Rhinolophus ferrumequinum: one gene and its partner. The protein of the gene in region 2 interacts with the protein of the main gene of each other region in a pairwise test. Links are inferred from orthologs where the notes say so. Each region holds a gene or a part of one and is shown on either strand. Other genes may lie near its edges.

Region 1 (7,869 bases), on a different chromosome or scaffold from region 2:
CGGCCGCGGGGGCGCGCAGGGCGGTGGGGGGAGTCCCGGGCTGGGAGTAGCCAACGAAGGGAGTGGTTGCGGCCCTGGCCGCCCTATGCTGCATGCCCTACCGGAGGTCTCTGGGCCATCTGCTTGTGTCTGGCATCCAGAGCGTCTGTGCATGTGTGCGAGATATACATGTGCGTCCTAGATGGCAGGACAGCGTGCACACCTGTCTCTGCAGGCCCGTGAACAGATCCCCTTGTGAGGCATTTCTGCACTAGGGATCTACGTGTGTGCCTCGGTGTCCCCGTGTGCATGCCTTGCCCTCAGGGACACGTCCTCTAAGCAGATTCATGGGCATGTTGTAAGTGACAGGTGTGTATCTGCACTCACATTTGTTTCCACAGCTCATGAACATAATGTGCCATTGTGTCTGTGTGAGCGGAAAAGGGGAATGTCATCACTGAAGCCGGCGTGGGAATGTGTGGAATTCTGGAACATTTCTCTGGCACAACCACAGCCTGTTGGAGCTGGGAAGGGCCTTGGAAGTTTCCCAGTCCAGCCCTGTGTTTAAGAAATGAGGAAACTGAGGCCAGAACCAAGAGGAAAGTAGCCAAGCTTGATATCACACCTACTATGTGTTGTGGACTCTACTTACTTACTCCTGTCCACCTTTTGAGGCAGATGATATTGATCTCGTTTTACAGAAAAGTAAGACTTATAGTACCAGGGGGAAAAAAGTGACAGAGCGGAGGTTTAAATCCACTCTGCCCAATTCCAGGCTTAACAGTTGTTCTTCCACACCCGGGGTTTTCAGTGTGGCCCAAGCAGCCCAGGGGTCCTTGAGAACCTTTCAGGGACTCTTTGAGGTCAAAACAATTTTCCTATTAAAGACATTATTGCCCTTTTCACTTTCATGCTCTCACAAAGTACCCTGGAATTTTTTTCTATTAAGCGAGAAATGAAAGAAATTTGTAAAAATGTAAAACAATAACATTCTTCTCTCTAATTTTTTTTGCTTTGTAAAATGATTTCACTTAAACTTTATGTTATTTATGTTATGTAATGGGTTTATTATTGCTATTTTAACGCATGAATAAATATTTTTTTAATTTCTCAGTAAATAATAGATATAACCCACATAAACAAAAGCTCTTTGGGGTCCTCAATACTTTTTAAGAGAGTTAAAGGACCCTGAAACCAAAAAGTTTGAGAATTGCTGCTCTATGCCATGTTACCTCCCTGGGGTGTGGGTGTATGGTGTGTGTGTGTGTGTGTGTGTGTGTGTGTGTGTGTGTGAGGGGGTGACTGTCCCAAGAGCTGCCAGGTACAGAACAAGGGGAGCCTAGAAGTCAGGTGATTGGGCTCCCAGTCTGGTGCTCTTTACACATCAGTCCAGGAAATCGAGATCACCGGGTTTAAGATGCTTTCCCAGCTGACCCCAGCATCAGCCAGCAGGGGATTCTTTGGTCTGAACTTAAGTCCATGTTCTGCCAGACAGGGATGCCCTGGCCCTTTGATGCATCCAGCTTCCCGTGCTGCCTTCCCCATGCCAGCTCGTGGGAAGATAAGCAATGGGGGTGGGGACGGTGGCTGGGGCAGCTGGGCAACCATCTCCACTCGTCCCTGGCACGGCTCTGCCCAGGACACAAAGGGCAGAGTGAATCCTGTCCCGCCCCTGCAGCTGAGGGGCTGGAAGGAGAAACAGGGAAGACACACATAGAAGGAGGGGCTATTGTGGGGCTTTCCACGGCCACAGTTCTCAGAGGCTTTAACCCAGAGACAGACAGAAAGGGGGAGGCGGGGTCCTACTCTTAGTAGGGTCCTTCTCTAGTAAGACCTGCCCTGGGAGTTGAAGTAAATAGTGATAATCATGGACTTTCACATCATGATGTCATTGGATTCTCACAACAGCCTGGAGCTGGGGACAGGCAGACAGTATTAGTCCCATTTCACAGATGAGTACTCTAAAGCCTAGAAAGATAGGATGTCTCATTCAGGGTCCCAGAGCAGGCCAGTGAATCACCGAGTCCTCCACATACTGAAGGAATGAACTATTGACCGTTTGTCAACGAGCCCCCACATGTGTGGGGATAGCCTTATCGTTGACTATAATTACACGTTGGGTGCGTGCAGGCTCCTTGCTCTGGGGCAGGTACAAAGAATCCTCAGGAAAGCTTGATCCCAGGGCCAGTCTCATGGCTGGCAGCTAGGTTGAGTAGGTAAGGCAACAAAAAGCACCCACATAGCTGATGAGACCATCAGGGAGTGTTAAGTGGCAGGTAAACATGTGTCAGGGAGGCTGGGAGATTTTGGAGGAGGGATGGGACCCTGTAGGCTGGGGCGGTAAGGTCACAGAGTAGGTGCTATTGGTTCTTGTTTGGCCTTTTAGGGTGGGTGGTATTCAGAGAGGTGGAGAGGTGTTGAGGGTGGGCTTTCCAGAAGGGAAAACCGGCCTAAGTAAAGGACAAGAAGAGAGAAGCCTGCAGTAGAGGGCTAGTGTGAGGAGCAAAGGGACAGCTATGCAGGACCAGCTAAAGCGCCCTCCCTCCTTCCTTCTCCACATTTCCCAAGATCTCTACCAGGTTGCTGGCAGCATCTGAACTTCCCTTACGAAACTGGAGGGCATCCTTCCTTCCCAACTTCCAAACAGGCAAAAACGAGAGGAAGGAAGGAAGGAAGGAAAAGGAAAGGAAAGGAAAGGAAGAACTGTAAAGCTTATGAGAAGCACAGCCTAAGGGCAGCCTGCAGGGGAGACTGAGGACCGGAGAGGACCGAGGCTTCTCTCCCAGAAAGAGCCCCCTTTCCCACACCCTGTGATGATGGCAAGCCCGGCCAACAGCACCTGTTCAGAACAAGCTCCTCAGCTGGACTAGGCAGTCCCCGAGATGCCCACAGGGACCTCCTGATGCTTGCAGTTATCCTTGGCCCTCCCGCTGGCCTGCTGCCCACCTGGCGCAGGCCCAGTATGTGTGAGTCAGCGATCAATCCCAGTGTTGCCAGGACAACTGGGGGTGGGAGTGGGGGCTCTGGGGGCTGTCTTCTGCCTCTGGCACCTGCACACAGCTGAGGCTGCACACTGAGAGGAGGCCGCTTCCCCCTCCTCCATGAACCCCTCTCCCCCTGTTTCACTCCTCCTAGGACACTGGCTGCTAGAGGCTTAGGCAAATATTTAAAGGGGCCGTTGGGGGTGGGGCAGTGAGGTGGGTGGTGGGAGCAAACATTTCCTTCCTTCTCTCCTTCTCCAATCTTCTCAGGGGCTCTCAGCTCAGATGCCATGCTGTTGTGCAATCTGGAGGCTGAAGGCCCTCCAGCTGGAGAGGGGGTTGTTGTGGGGACAGGGGAACCTGCCAGGGCTGAAGAGTTGGGGGTCTGCTCAGGATTGAAGGGCAAGGCCAAGGTGCGAGGGAGCCCCTGGGCAAGGGACAGGAATTGGGATGAAGTGTTGGAGTTACGGTATAAGGAAGATACTAGAGGGAGGCCAAGAGAAGAGCGAGGTGTGGGGCTCTGATTTACACACTTGGGAAAGTTTAGAGTTAAAGGTGCCACAGAGCACACCTGTCCCAGCAAGCAGAGGGGAACCTGAGAGAAAGGATACAGCCATCAGTAGGCTTGTTTAGCACAACGAAGCAACAGCGATGGCTTTGGGAAGGAGGAGGAAAGAGATAGAGGGGAGGAGAAGGTCCACAGAGTGGATCCCATTTGGGCAAGTAGTGTTCTCCAGGCAAATTTAGGATCAGAGGATGTCAAAGGAAGAGTGCAGAAGGGAAGGGTGATGGCAGCACCAAGGAAGTGCGCTGATTCAGGGGTGAAGAGATTGGGAGCCCATCAGTCACCACACCCAGCCCGGTGCAAGGCTTTCTGGACAGAAGAAAGAAGTGTCAGGTGTGGAATCTGCAATCAAACGTCTTCAGTTTGAGCTCTGAAAATGGTTTGCCATTCACTTGACGCAGAACACCCCACAAAGTCACGCAAATCAAGAGGCTCAAGTCTTTGTGTTTATTTTAAAAAACACTCATGAAACTGCCCAGGCCATCAAGGGTATGTATGTCCGAAAAGCCACCAAGTATCTAAAGGATGTCACTTGACAGCCGTATGCGCCATTCTGTCGTCACAATGGTGGAGTTGGTAGGTGTGCCCAGGTCAAACAGTGGGGTTGGATGCAGGGTCGGTGGCCCAAAAAGAGTGCAGAACTTCTGTTGCACATGCTTAGAAATGTAGTGAGGAATGCTGAGGGTTTAGATGTAGATTTTTCTGGTCATGGAGCACATCCGGGTGAACAAAGCTCCCGAGATGAGGTACAGAACTTATAGAACTCTTGGGGGATGAACCCCCCAGGTGAACAAAGCTCCCAAGATGAGGTACAGAACTTATAGAACTCTTGGGGGATGAACCCCTACATGAGTTCCCCCTGCCACAGTGGGATGATCTTTACTGGAGAAAAGCAGATTGTTCCTAAACCAGAAGAGGAGGTTGCACAGAGGAGAAGAAACGGAAGAAACAAAAACGTTGGCCTGGGAATAAATTCAGCATCAAATAAATGCAAATAAAATAAAAGCAGGAAAAAAACAAAACAAACAAGCCCATAGCAAAGAATGGAAAACCTCATGTTAGTAAGAATTTGTAACTGGAGGGGACAGAGTTTTCAGAATTTGGAAAAGAATAGCTGGGGGCATGTCTGAGGTTAGGTAAGGAAATGTGGTAGACAGCAAGTAGAGTACTTGAGGTCAAAATCTGAATGCTCCCAGAGAACTTATGAATGATTTATGAACCTCCATACTGATGCCTTCAGCAGTGCACGATCTGGGGCCACAGACACTGCTTCCTCACTCCCATTCCTGAAGCGTATCCCTATGCTCGGGTTAATCCTGTAGGAAATATGATGGACTTCCCACTGGGCCAGACCCTTGGCTGCCTGAGAGGTACAGCCTGGAAGAACAGGGAAAGCCACAGGACTGCAAGGACAGGTGCCAGCAAGAAAAGTGGCCATGCCAGGAAGATACCCACGGTGAGAGGTGCAGATTGCCCAAGGGTAAGTTTGCTCAACTCACCCAGCTTTGCTTTCGCCAGGGCTAAGAGGACTCACGTGCCAGAGCAAGGGCCCTTAGGTGCTCTTGCAGCTGCCTTATCAGGGCCGTGGTTCTGGAGGGCCAGGAACAAACAGGCTTCAAAGCTGAGGGCTTGGCTGGCAGATGGTTGCTGGGCCCTTCACCTCTGTCCCCTCTCCCTCCTGGCACATATAAAACCCCAGTCTCACACATAGGAGACGTAGGAGACGAGGAGGGGAAGGTGCCTGCAGCAAGATGGATGTGGGCAGCAAAGAAGTCTTGATGGAGAGCCCACCGGTGAGTGTGAACATGTGTGTGTGCGTGTGTGTGGTGGGCCTCTCTGGGCTTATTTCCCCATCAAATTTATTCGCTTAACCGACCTAGGATTGTGCTAAGTTAGAGCAGGGACACCGATCACTATGACAGAGTCCTTGGGGGAGATAGACATGGCAGCCGATGATTCTAATATGAGTGGCTGAATGGCACCACAGAGGTCAGTGGAAAGGGCTGTAGAGGGCACTGAGTAGGAAACCACTGCTTGGACAGTCATAGGAAGAACCACAGAGAAAATGACATTCGAGCTGACTCCAGGAGAATAAGCAGGAGCTCCCCAAGTGGAGAAGGAGGAAGGCACTCAGAAAGAAGGGCGGTAGGTATAAAGGCACAGAGGTGTGAGAGAGCATGAATTGTTTGGGGAACAGAGAGGGAGTGGGCGTGGCGGAGGTACCAGGGGTCTGGAGGAAACAGCGGGAAATATCATTAGTGAAATAGGCTGTCTCGGGTCTCTCCAAGCCAGACCTCACTTCTAAGCATCTGTTGGTTTGCTGGAATCCAGGCCACCTCCTCCTCTGATCTCCTCATCCTTCCTCTGCACGACCATAGCATAGGTTGCTCAGCCCTGGGAGGGCGTGAGAGGGTGTCCAGCTAGTGCAGGGAGAAGGGGTGTCCTCATGACTTCATAACTGTCTCCTCCCCACCCCACCACATCAGGACTACTCAGCAGCCCCCCGGGGCCGGCTGGGCATCCCCTGCTGCCCTGTGCACCTCAAACGCCTTCTCATCGTGGTCGTTGTGGTGGTCCTGGTCGTCGTGGTGATTGTAGGGGCCCTGCTCATGGGTCTTCACATGAGCCAGAAACATACTGAGATGGTAAGCAGGCCTGGGAGGAAGTGGGCAGGAAGTACAGGGCATGCCAGACAGATTGGCTTGGGGGGCTGGGTAGGCAGCAAACTGTCCAAGAGGAATGAGAGGAGGAGGCAAGGGGCACCTCGTGGAAGGACAGAGGCAGAAGCAGGGTGGCCAACCTGGCCTGGGCTTTCCCCTCACCCCTACCCCACCTGGGGACAGCCTGTTCCTTCCAGCACCTGGTTCTACTCAGCCTCTCTGAGCTCTCAGGGAAGAAGGAATTGCATTTGAGTATAGGGGATTGAGAGTGGGCATGAGTACTGAAGGGACAAGTGGGGAAAGAGGAATGCCAGGCCGCGCCGTGCCCTCCCCCAGGTCCTGGAGATGAGCATTGCGGGGCCGGAAGCTCAGCAACGCCTGGCTCTGAGTGAGCGTGTGGGCACCACTGCCACCTTCTCCATTGGCTCCACTGGCATTGTAGTGTATGACTACCAGCGGGTGAGTGTGCCTGGACCTCTTGACCCTGGCCCCAGGGGACCCATGACAGGACTTTGCTAGATCCACCCAGCTGTGCTACGTCATACACACCCATCTTTCCCCATACTCCAGTGCTTTTGCACCCCCTGGGGGTGCCTGAGCCCCAAATTCCAATATAACTCCCTCCTGTGCCCAACCTAGAGGGAGAAGGCCCAGGACAGGGCCTAGCTCATTCCCTAATTACCTCTGGGGCTCCTATGCCCAGCTCTTGATTGCCTACAAGCCGGCACCAGGAACCTACTGCTACATCATGAAGATGGCTCCGGAGGCCATCCCCAGTCTTGAGGCTCTCACTAGGAAATTCCAGAACTTCCAGGTGGGTGTGAGGGCGAGAAGGAATGGGTTGTCTCTCTCCCGAGGCTGCTGGGACTTCTAGGAACGCCTGTGTGTGGCACAAGGAGTTGGGAGCACGTTGTCAAGTTCTGACCCTGTAAAGTGCTGTTCCTCTGGGGCTGCCAGGGAAGGGTCCCTCTCCAGACTCACCTGCTCTACACCTTCCCTACCCATTCCCCAGACCCGCCCCACCACCCCACCTCCAAGCTGCTGGCCTCAATTTAGCCCACACCACACATAGGGGCTTCTGACTCCAGCACAGACCCCTCTTTACTGGTGAGGAAACTGAGGCTCAGAGAGATTGCTTCACATGCCTGAGGTCCCACAACGAGGGCCACAGGTGAAACTCAGCTCCCAGGCACCAAATAAGGTGTACTTTCCAGGTGAAGCCTGAAGTGCCTCCCGCTAAGCTGAGCCAGGAGAAAGGCCATGACACTGGCTCAGCATCCAATGGGGACCTGGACTTCCTAGGCAACACCGTGAACACCCTGTGTGGTGAGGTGCCCCTCTACTACATCTAGGATCCTTCAGGTGAGCAGGTGTGACCTCCAGGGCACGGGAGTAGCAGTGGCCCAAGAGGGCTTGGGCCACCTTGTCTTGTCAGTTGACCTGGAACGGGAATCCATTGAGGCCGATCACCCAGGGAGCTCAAGGGAGGGCAGGTTCACAGACAAGCCCCCCGACCCCACCACCAGTCCCTCTCCCTCACATAATACAGTGTTTCTTTGCTTTGCAGGGCATGCGGAAGCCCCAAGGGGACAGGAAAGATCCATGAGCAAAAGGTCTTTTGCAGACAGGCAGGGAGCTGCTCCTGCCACACACACTACAGGAACTGGCCCTAGAGAAATGGGAA
Region 2 (7,081 bases):
GCTATCTGACTTCCTTATGCCTCAGTTCTTCCATCTATAAAATGGGAATAACATTATCACCTATTTTGTGGGGATTAAAGTGGCTAATGCAGAAAGCACTCATGACAGTGGTCCATACATAGCAAGTGCCCAGTAAGTCTGACCTTCACCCTTCTTGTTATAAGGCTGCGGAGGAGACACCAGACGCTAAGTGAAAAGGCCAAGGAAATTCGGTGGATGGCTAAGACGTTCCAGAGGGAGGTGTCATCTCTGGAAGGGTAAAACCCAGAAGGTGACAGACAGCAGCTGTGACAACAGGGGAATCAGGCACAGCTCTGGACACAAAAGCAACCGGTACTCAGGGAGTGATAATTCTGAGAACAGTCCGGATCGTTCCAGAAGACTGAAACGTGCTGCTGGACTGAGGAAAGTGGGCCATAGCAGGCGGGCGCCCTGTGGGGGCTCAGGGCGTACAGTACTAAAAGCTGCCCTATACAGGGCAGAATGACAGTGAGTGAGATGGTAATCAGGCCTTGTCACAAGCAGTCCTGAGAGCTCAGCCTTTCTCCAACCACGCTGGGCTGCCCAGAGGTGGGAGCCAAGCCCTGTAGCCAGCCTGACCCTGGATGCCAGGGGCACAGGCAGTCGTCAGGGATTTACTCTATGCCAGCTTAGTCCCCAGGGCAGGGCTTTTAACTTCAGTGCCCTAGACAGATGTGGGCGGGTGTGTGTGTGTGTTTATGGACAGGCTCTAGAGTGCTCCCTCCATTCTAAAGGTTAATAACCACTACGCTGGGAAGTTCTAACTGAAAATTCTTAAACCTGCGAGGACGCAGCACTGTTTGCTCCATTCCCCATCAGACCATAAGCTCCTCCACTCGACTGTAATTTCCTGTAGAACAAAACCCACAAAAACTGTCTTGTGTCTCATTCACTACTGTACTCCCAGGCCTAGAACAGTGTCAAAAAAGAAAAATGTTTTTAAAAACTAGTTCGTTGGCCTAATTAATTGGTGCTTGTGTCCCTTTCAGCATCCTTTCTCCAGCTGCCTGCCTTCTGAGGGGCTGAAAACGTTTCAGAATTTCATTTCTGTAAGCCGTTAGATTGTGAGAAAGTCCCAAATTTACTGAAGCTCACAGTGACAATTCCAGTCTCACAACACACACTTATGTGGGGCAGAGAAACAAGACCTCCCTCCCCCAGTTCCTTCTCCACCCACCCTTGCTACAATAAATTATAAAAACAGAGACCCGCCGCCTCCAGTTCCCACGCTGCTCAAAGCTGACAACACACGACTGCAGGCAGACTTCCACGAGCACACAGGTCAGCCACACATCGGCTTAAGCCAATCAGTCCTGTGCAGGTAGTGGCTTGAGAAAATACTAGATTTGAGAATGATCGGGATGACCAGAGCCTTTACCAAAGCTGGAGACAAGTAAGGCGTCTTGCAGACACTGCCCACGCTCTGTCTGACAGGCAGCTCTGACACACGTGCCACCTGGGGGCAGCCCACAGTGGGAGCCCAGGGGCTGCGGGACTGGATCACTTTTCTATTTTGGGAGCAGCCCACGCTCCCCTCTGTCTCCGAAGCCGAGCAGGCAGGATGCCCACTCAGGAGGAAAAGACAACATGCTCTTGACTCTTTCACTGCCAAGACAGGGCCCAGGGCTCCGAAGGTCCATCTCTCGTGCAAACCCTTCTATTCAACAGAGCCTGAGCCAAAGGAAAACCGCAATCCCTACTCCCTACCAGAAAGGAGAAAACCCAACTGGAGTCTCTATGCTTCATTCTATGTCCATCCAGTTCTAGAGCCCAGGTTCCAGCTGCCGAACACAAAATATCCTTGACCCAGGGTGGGAAGAACTCATCCTGGCCGGTTCCCAACACAGGACTGAAGGGCTACAGACGCCGCGGAGCGTGAGAGGCACTGCGGAAATCAGAAACCAAGACTGGAGGTTGCCTGGCAAAGGACTGGAGTCATGAGGCTGGGGCGCCGGCAGGAGTCAGGAGTCCCCAGGTGCCCTGAAACGGGCTCCCGTGAACCAAGGACACTGGACTCCAAGTCCTTCTGGGCCCTTTCAGTCCAACAGTCTTCCAGCCTCTTTCCTTTCATTCAGAATCCCAAAAATGTGAGCCATAAGGGACCTCAGGACGTATCACATCCAAATTTCTCCTTTTAAGGACGAGGACGCTCAGGCCCAAGGTCACACCGTGAGACGCGGCAAGGCGAGGACCTAACCTGGCTCTCCCGATTTCGGTCCTGCGGGGTTCTCAGGGCTCATCCCTTCCGGGTTCTCCTCCATCTCGGACTCCACCCTCACCTCCCCCACCCCTGCAGCCCTCAAGTCCCCCCCACCTTTGCTGACCCCAAAACCGCAAAGCTCGGTGCCCGCCCCAAGTTCACCGCTGTGGGGATCCCTCCCTCCACGTGCTTCCTTCCCAACCTCCCACCCACCCAACCTCTTCTTTCAGCTCCGTCCCGGGTTAGGGGGCCCCCCACCCGCTCCCTCCAAAACTGCACCCTCCTCCCTCGCCCGCGCCCCAGCCCGGCGCCCGGGCCCCGCCCGCCTGGAGGCCCCGCCCCTCGCTGTCCCCCCACTTCCCTCCGCGACTGCACTCACGCCCCGGCCCCTCTCACCGGTAAAGCCGCTTGGTGTGGAGGACCTTTGCTTCGGGCTCGCTGCTCTCCCCTGGGGGGGGGCCTTGGCTCATGGTGCCCGGGCCCGGGGGCGGCTTCCGGTCACAGGCCCCCGCCACCCACCGCTACCTCCACCACTGCCGTCTCCGGCCGTAGCCGCAGCCGCCACCGCTGCCGGCCCTGCTCGGCCGCCATCGCTGAGGCGGCTGCCCGCGACTCCTCCTCCGCCTGCCAAATCTCGCGATAGCAGCTGCACAGCTGCGGGCCAGTGGCCGGCGGCTACCAAATCTCGCGAAACTCGTTTTCCCTCCCGGGAAGTTGCCAGAACTAACTCTGGGCAGCATGGCCTCTTTCCGGCTTCTTCAAGCCCTTGCGAAAAACTTTATTGACAAAGCTGCTCGAGAACGGACAGTGGACCCAGCCAGAAGGGGGAAGCTAAGCTCAGTGGGGCAAATGGGCTCACGCTAGAGCTGGGAGCGGATTTTGCGTTGTCCTACGGTGGTCATTTATAATCCACCCTTCTGCCCCTTCACCTCCCCTCACTCCATTTGAGTCGAGTCTCTTTCAGATTATGGTCAGAATTTTTTAGGAAAAAAATGTCACAAAGCTCAAATGCCTTTAGTGGTGAGGTCCCACAGGAACGAGAAGTCCCTCTCTCACTCATGTTTCTGCCCCCGGGTCGACCCATTGAAAAGATCACCTTGGATTCCTATTGCTCTCTTGACCTTAAACCTAAGGTAAAAAGCAAGGTATTTGGGGGTGGGGGACTGTGTACGCGTTGAAATGGGAACATAAATACCCCCTCCGCCACTGTGCCGCTGGTTCCAGCCACCGCCCTTCTTTCTGTTCCTGAAACTGCCAGTCTTTCTCACTCATTGGCCTTTCACTTGCTGTTCCACTGCCTGCAACACTCCCACTCCTCATTTCCCTTCAGGTCTCAGCTCAAAAGGCACCTTGGCAGAAAGGTTTTCCCTGTTGAAATTGTCTCATTTATTGAGTCGCTAGGCTTCTTTATTATCTGTGACCCCAAGAGAACGGGCTCCGCAAGGGCCGAGCCTTTGCCTGTTATCTTGTTGTCTCTGGAGTCTGTGCCTAGAACAGTGCCTGGCTAATAACAGGTGCTCAGTAAATGTGAATAAATAAGTGTAGAAATTCCATCTCTTTTCTGGGTATTCCAACCTACTCCAAGCACCCTGTGATGCACAAACCCCATGGTCCCCCTCTGTTTTCGTGAGCCAGGAGCCCTTACACATGCCATTTGCCTAGAACACACGCTTACTTCTATGCCCAGCTGCACCCCCACTTTCAGAAAGGATGACAGGCGACCTCTAAGGCTTTTTCTGTCGGCAGATTCAGCAGGGCGGGGCCTGCCCCTTTAAGCTGGGCCCCACCTGCTCCGGTCAGACTGGTTTGGAAACACAGGTAAAGGGAGGGAGACCAGAGGGTTACTTGCAGAGCCAGCAGGGAGCTGGGCAGCTCCTTCCCAGACACTGTGGGGACTGGGGACCCTGCGTCTCTCTCCAGATGGAAAGTAAGAGGGTGTCATGGGCCAAAATGGCAAGGGGTAGGAAGCCATTGTGGAGGTGGAGGGAGGGGCTGAGCCCCATCAAGAAGCAGAGAGACGGAGAACGGAGGGGACGGCAGGGAGGGGAGAGACCGGCGAGGAGGCATGGGGAACAGCCATGGTAGGACCTAGAAGTCAGAATGGACAGACGCAGGCCCTCTGCAGATGGATGAGGTGGGCTAGTGAGGAGTTTGGCAACTGCCCATGTCCCCAGACTAGAGACGAAAGAACAGGGTGCACTGCTATGCCAGTTCCCTGGGACAGATTTGTTGGCAAATCACTGGGATCAGTTACCAGGAGGGTTCCAAGCAGGGATCTGCAGGGAAGGCGAGGTTTGAAGGTGAAGGGGCAGCTTCTCTGTCCGCAAGGAGGTCCTTAGTGGGAAGGCAGCTCTTGGCAAAATTCTAGGCACCTCCTGTCCCTCCCTTTCCTGCATGAAGGTGGCCATGACCCCAGGGGTTTTGGTGGAGGGGAGCAGAAGGCGTGGGTGGGGACTGGCTGAGGCCACAACTGCCAAGACCTATGCCCCCTGACTCACCCGCTCCTGCTGGCTGGCGTTTGATGTCAGAAGGGTGCCTCCATTTCAGCTGCTCACGTCTCTCCTTCCTCACTCTGTTTCAACACCTTCCTGCATGCCATGTTCTCCCCAAGGTCCCAGAAGGGGAGTGCCAACTGCCCTGGAGAGTTCGGTTCTGTCAACCCATCCTAAGGGCCAGAGGACGGAACTTCTGACAGAGCTTTCCTGTTAATCTCTAGGGTGACATGACCTCACGGTAGACCCCAGAACTGAGGTCCCAGGATGACAGAGCCCGAACACCTGGCCCTGCTGGAAGTGAAGGGGCCAGAGGCCCAGGAGAAGAGCTCACCCCAAGCCTTGGTCCCCAATGGCCGGCAGCCAGAAGGGGAAAGTGGGGCCGAGTCCCCCAGCGCTGAGCCCTCCAGCGTGGGATCTTCAGCTGGGTCTCCCACAGCTGGAGAGGGGACAAAGGATGGTCTGGACAGCACAGTGAGCGAGGCTGCCACCTTGCCCTGGGGGACTGGCCCCCAGGCCACTGCCCCATTCCCGGACCCCCCCGGCTGGCGGGACATGGGGCCTGAGCTCCTGGAGTCGGAGCCGCCTGGCAAACCAGAGGAGCTGTGTGACGATGACGTGGACCTGCTGCCCGAGAAGGCGCCACGGGCCTTTGTGCCCATCGACCTGCAGTGCATCGAGCGGCGGCCCCAGGAGGACCTTGCTGTGCGCTGTGAGGCCGGTGAGGCAGAGCGCCGCCGGACCTTCCTGCCCACCCGAGCCACCCCTCCTGAGCCCTCAGAGCGCAAGTGGGCCGAGGCCGTGGTGAGGCCACCCGGCCGCTCCTGTGGGGGCTGCGGGGGCCACGAGGGGCTGAGGGCTGTGGCCTCCGTGGCAGCCGCCCTGGTCCTCTTCCCCTGCCTGCTGTACGGGGCGTACGCCTTCCTGCCCTTCGATGCCCCTCGGCTGCCCACCATGAGTTCCCGCCTCGTCTACACGCTGCGCTGCGGGGTCTTCGCCACCTTCCCCATCGTGCTGGGTGAGCCTGGGCCCTGTGAGAAGGAAGGGGCATCTGGGAGCTGGACTCGAGGGCAGGGCCTGCCTGGCTGGGGAGCAGAAGTTTCCCTTTACTGAGGCTGGACCCTCGGGGCCTTGCGCGCTCTGCCACCCTGTGTGCCTGCCCCTCCCAGGACCCCAAGCCCCACTGTGGAGACCCATGCCCATGAGCTCTCCACCATGCGCCCTGCCCCCGCTTCCTGCCTCGTGCTCTCTGACCCTGCATCTCCATCCCTGCCAGGCCTCCTTGTGTACGGGCTGAGTCTGCTGTGCTTTTCCGCCCTGCGGCCCTTTGGGGAGCCCCGGCGGGAGGTAGAGATCCACCGGCAGTACGTGGCCCAGTCGGTCCAGCTCTTCATCCTCTACTTCTTCAACCTGGCCGTGCTTTCCACCTACCTGCCCCAAGACACCCTCAAACTGCTCCCTCTGCTCACTGGCCTCTTCGCCATCTCCCGGTGAGCTGCGGCTGGGGGTGGGGCACAGGGGAGGTAATGGCGCTAGAGGGACCCAGGTGAGTGAATGTGCAGAGAGCCCGGGTCGCGGGGTCCGGGAGCTGTCTGGATCCTGCGCTGGCCCAAATGTGCGCCCTGGAAAGGTGAGTCCACTTTCTCCCTTGCACCTTACCTCACCTGGTAGCAGGTGATCAGCTCAAACGTCTTCCCACAGGAAGCCGATTTCGGAGACTCATATACCATCTAGAACTGGAAGGGCTTCCAGGTGTCATTGCAGCCACCCACCGGTGACACTCTGGTCAGGTAGCCGTTGGCCTCTAGTTGGACACCCCCTGTGACCAAGGGCTCAGTTCTTTATCTGGCAGTCTGTTTCGTTTTTCAAAGGTCCTCGTTATTAGGAAGTTCTTTGTGTTGTGCTAAAGACTGCTGCCCTGACCCTGATCTCTGGAATTGCCTAGGACAAATTCGGATATTTGACAACAGCTCTGTTCCCCTACTCCAGCACCCTGCTCCCCGTGTTTACTTTGCTAAGTGGCCCTGACCCCTTCACCGTCTTTCTCTATGGGCAGGAAATTCTCCTGCTGGTCAAATGGGGTGAGGGTGGGGGGCTGGTGAAAGGTATTGGTCTTCGGCTCATACAAACCAAGGCCACGTTAGCTCTCACGGCAGCCTCATTACTCTCCTTTCATTTCGAATTTAGTCCCATGAAATCCTTAGGGGTGTTTCCATGGGAACTACTGTTAACCCAGAAGACACCTTTGAATTTCTGAAGCCAAATAAACACAGGTCTTTCCATTTTTGCCCCTAATACATTTCCTTTTGTCACTATCAATATACAATTCCCGGTAGCTTTAACTGCTAAGAAAGTCTTCCTATCGAGC

Evidence for each region.
Region 1: the proteins of TMEM79 (region 2) and SFTPC interact in binary tests that used the Homo sapiens proteins (3 or more experiments, as listed by UniProt). The two-hybrid records come from large-scale screens. The link is inferred for Rhinolophus ferrumequinum from reciprocal best matches to the Homo sapiens genes TMEM79 and SFTPC.

The regions. Positions count from the first base shown.
Region 1 is NC_046301.1:44,266,952-44,274,820, reverse strand, and holds the start of SFTPC (pulmonary surfactant-associated protein C), read left to right. Parts: upstream 1-4,823; 5' UTR 4,824-4,852; coding exon 4,853-5,005; intron 5,006-5,187; exon of another isoform or gene 5,188-5,276; coding exon of another isoform or gene 5,277-5,318; intron 5,319-6,011; coding exon 6,012-6,170; intron 6,171-6,521; coding exon 6,522-6,644; intron 6,645-6,888; coding exon 6,889-6,999; intron 7,000-7,399; coding exon 7,400-7,537; 3' UTR 7,538-7,547; intron 7,548-7,752; 3' UTR 7,753-7,869. UniProt on the Homo sapiens protein: Pulmonary surfactant associated proteins promote alveolar stability by lowering the surface tension at the air-liquid interface in the peripheral air spaces.
Region 2 is NC_046305.1:816,663-823,743, forward strand, and holds the start of TMEM79 (transmembrane protein 79), read left to right. Parts: upstream 1-4,031; 5' UTR 4,032-4,148; intron 4,149-4,937; 5' UTR 4,938-4,980; coding exon 4,981-5,731; intron 5,732-5,989; coding exon 5,990-6,203; intron 6,204-7,081. Other genes in the region: nonsense-mediated mRNA decay factor SMG5, read right to left, coding at 2,618-2,691.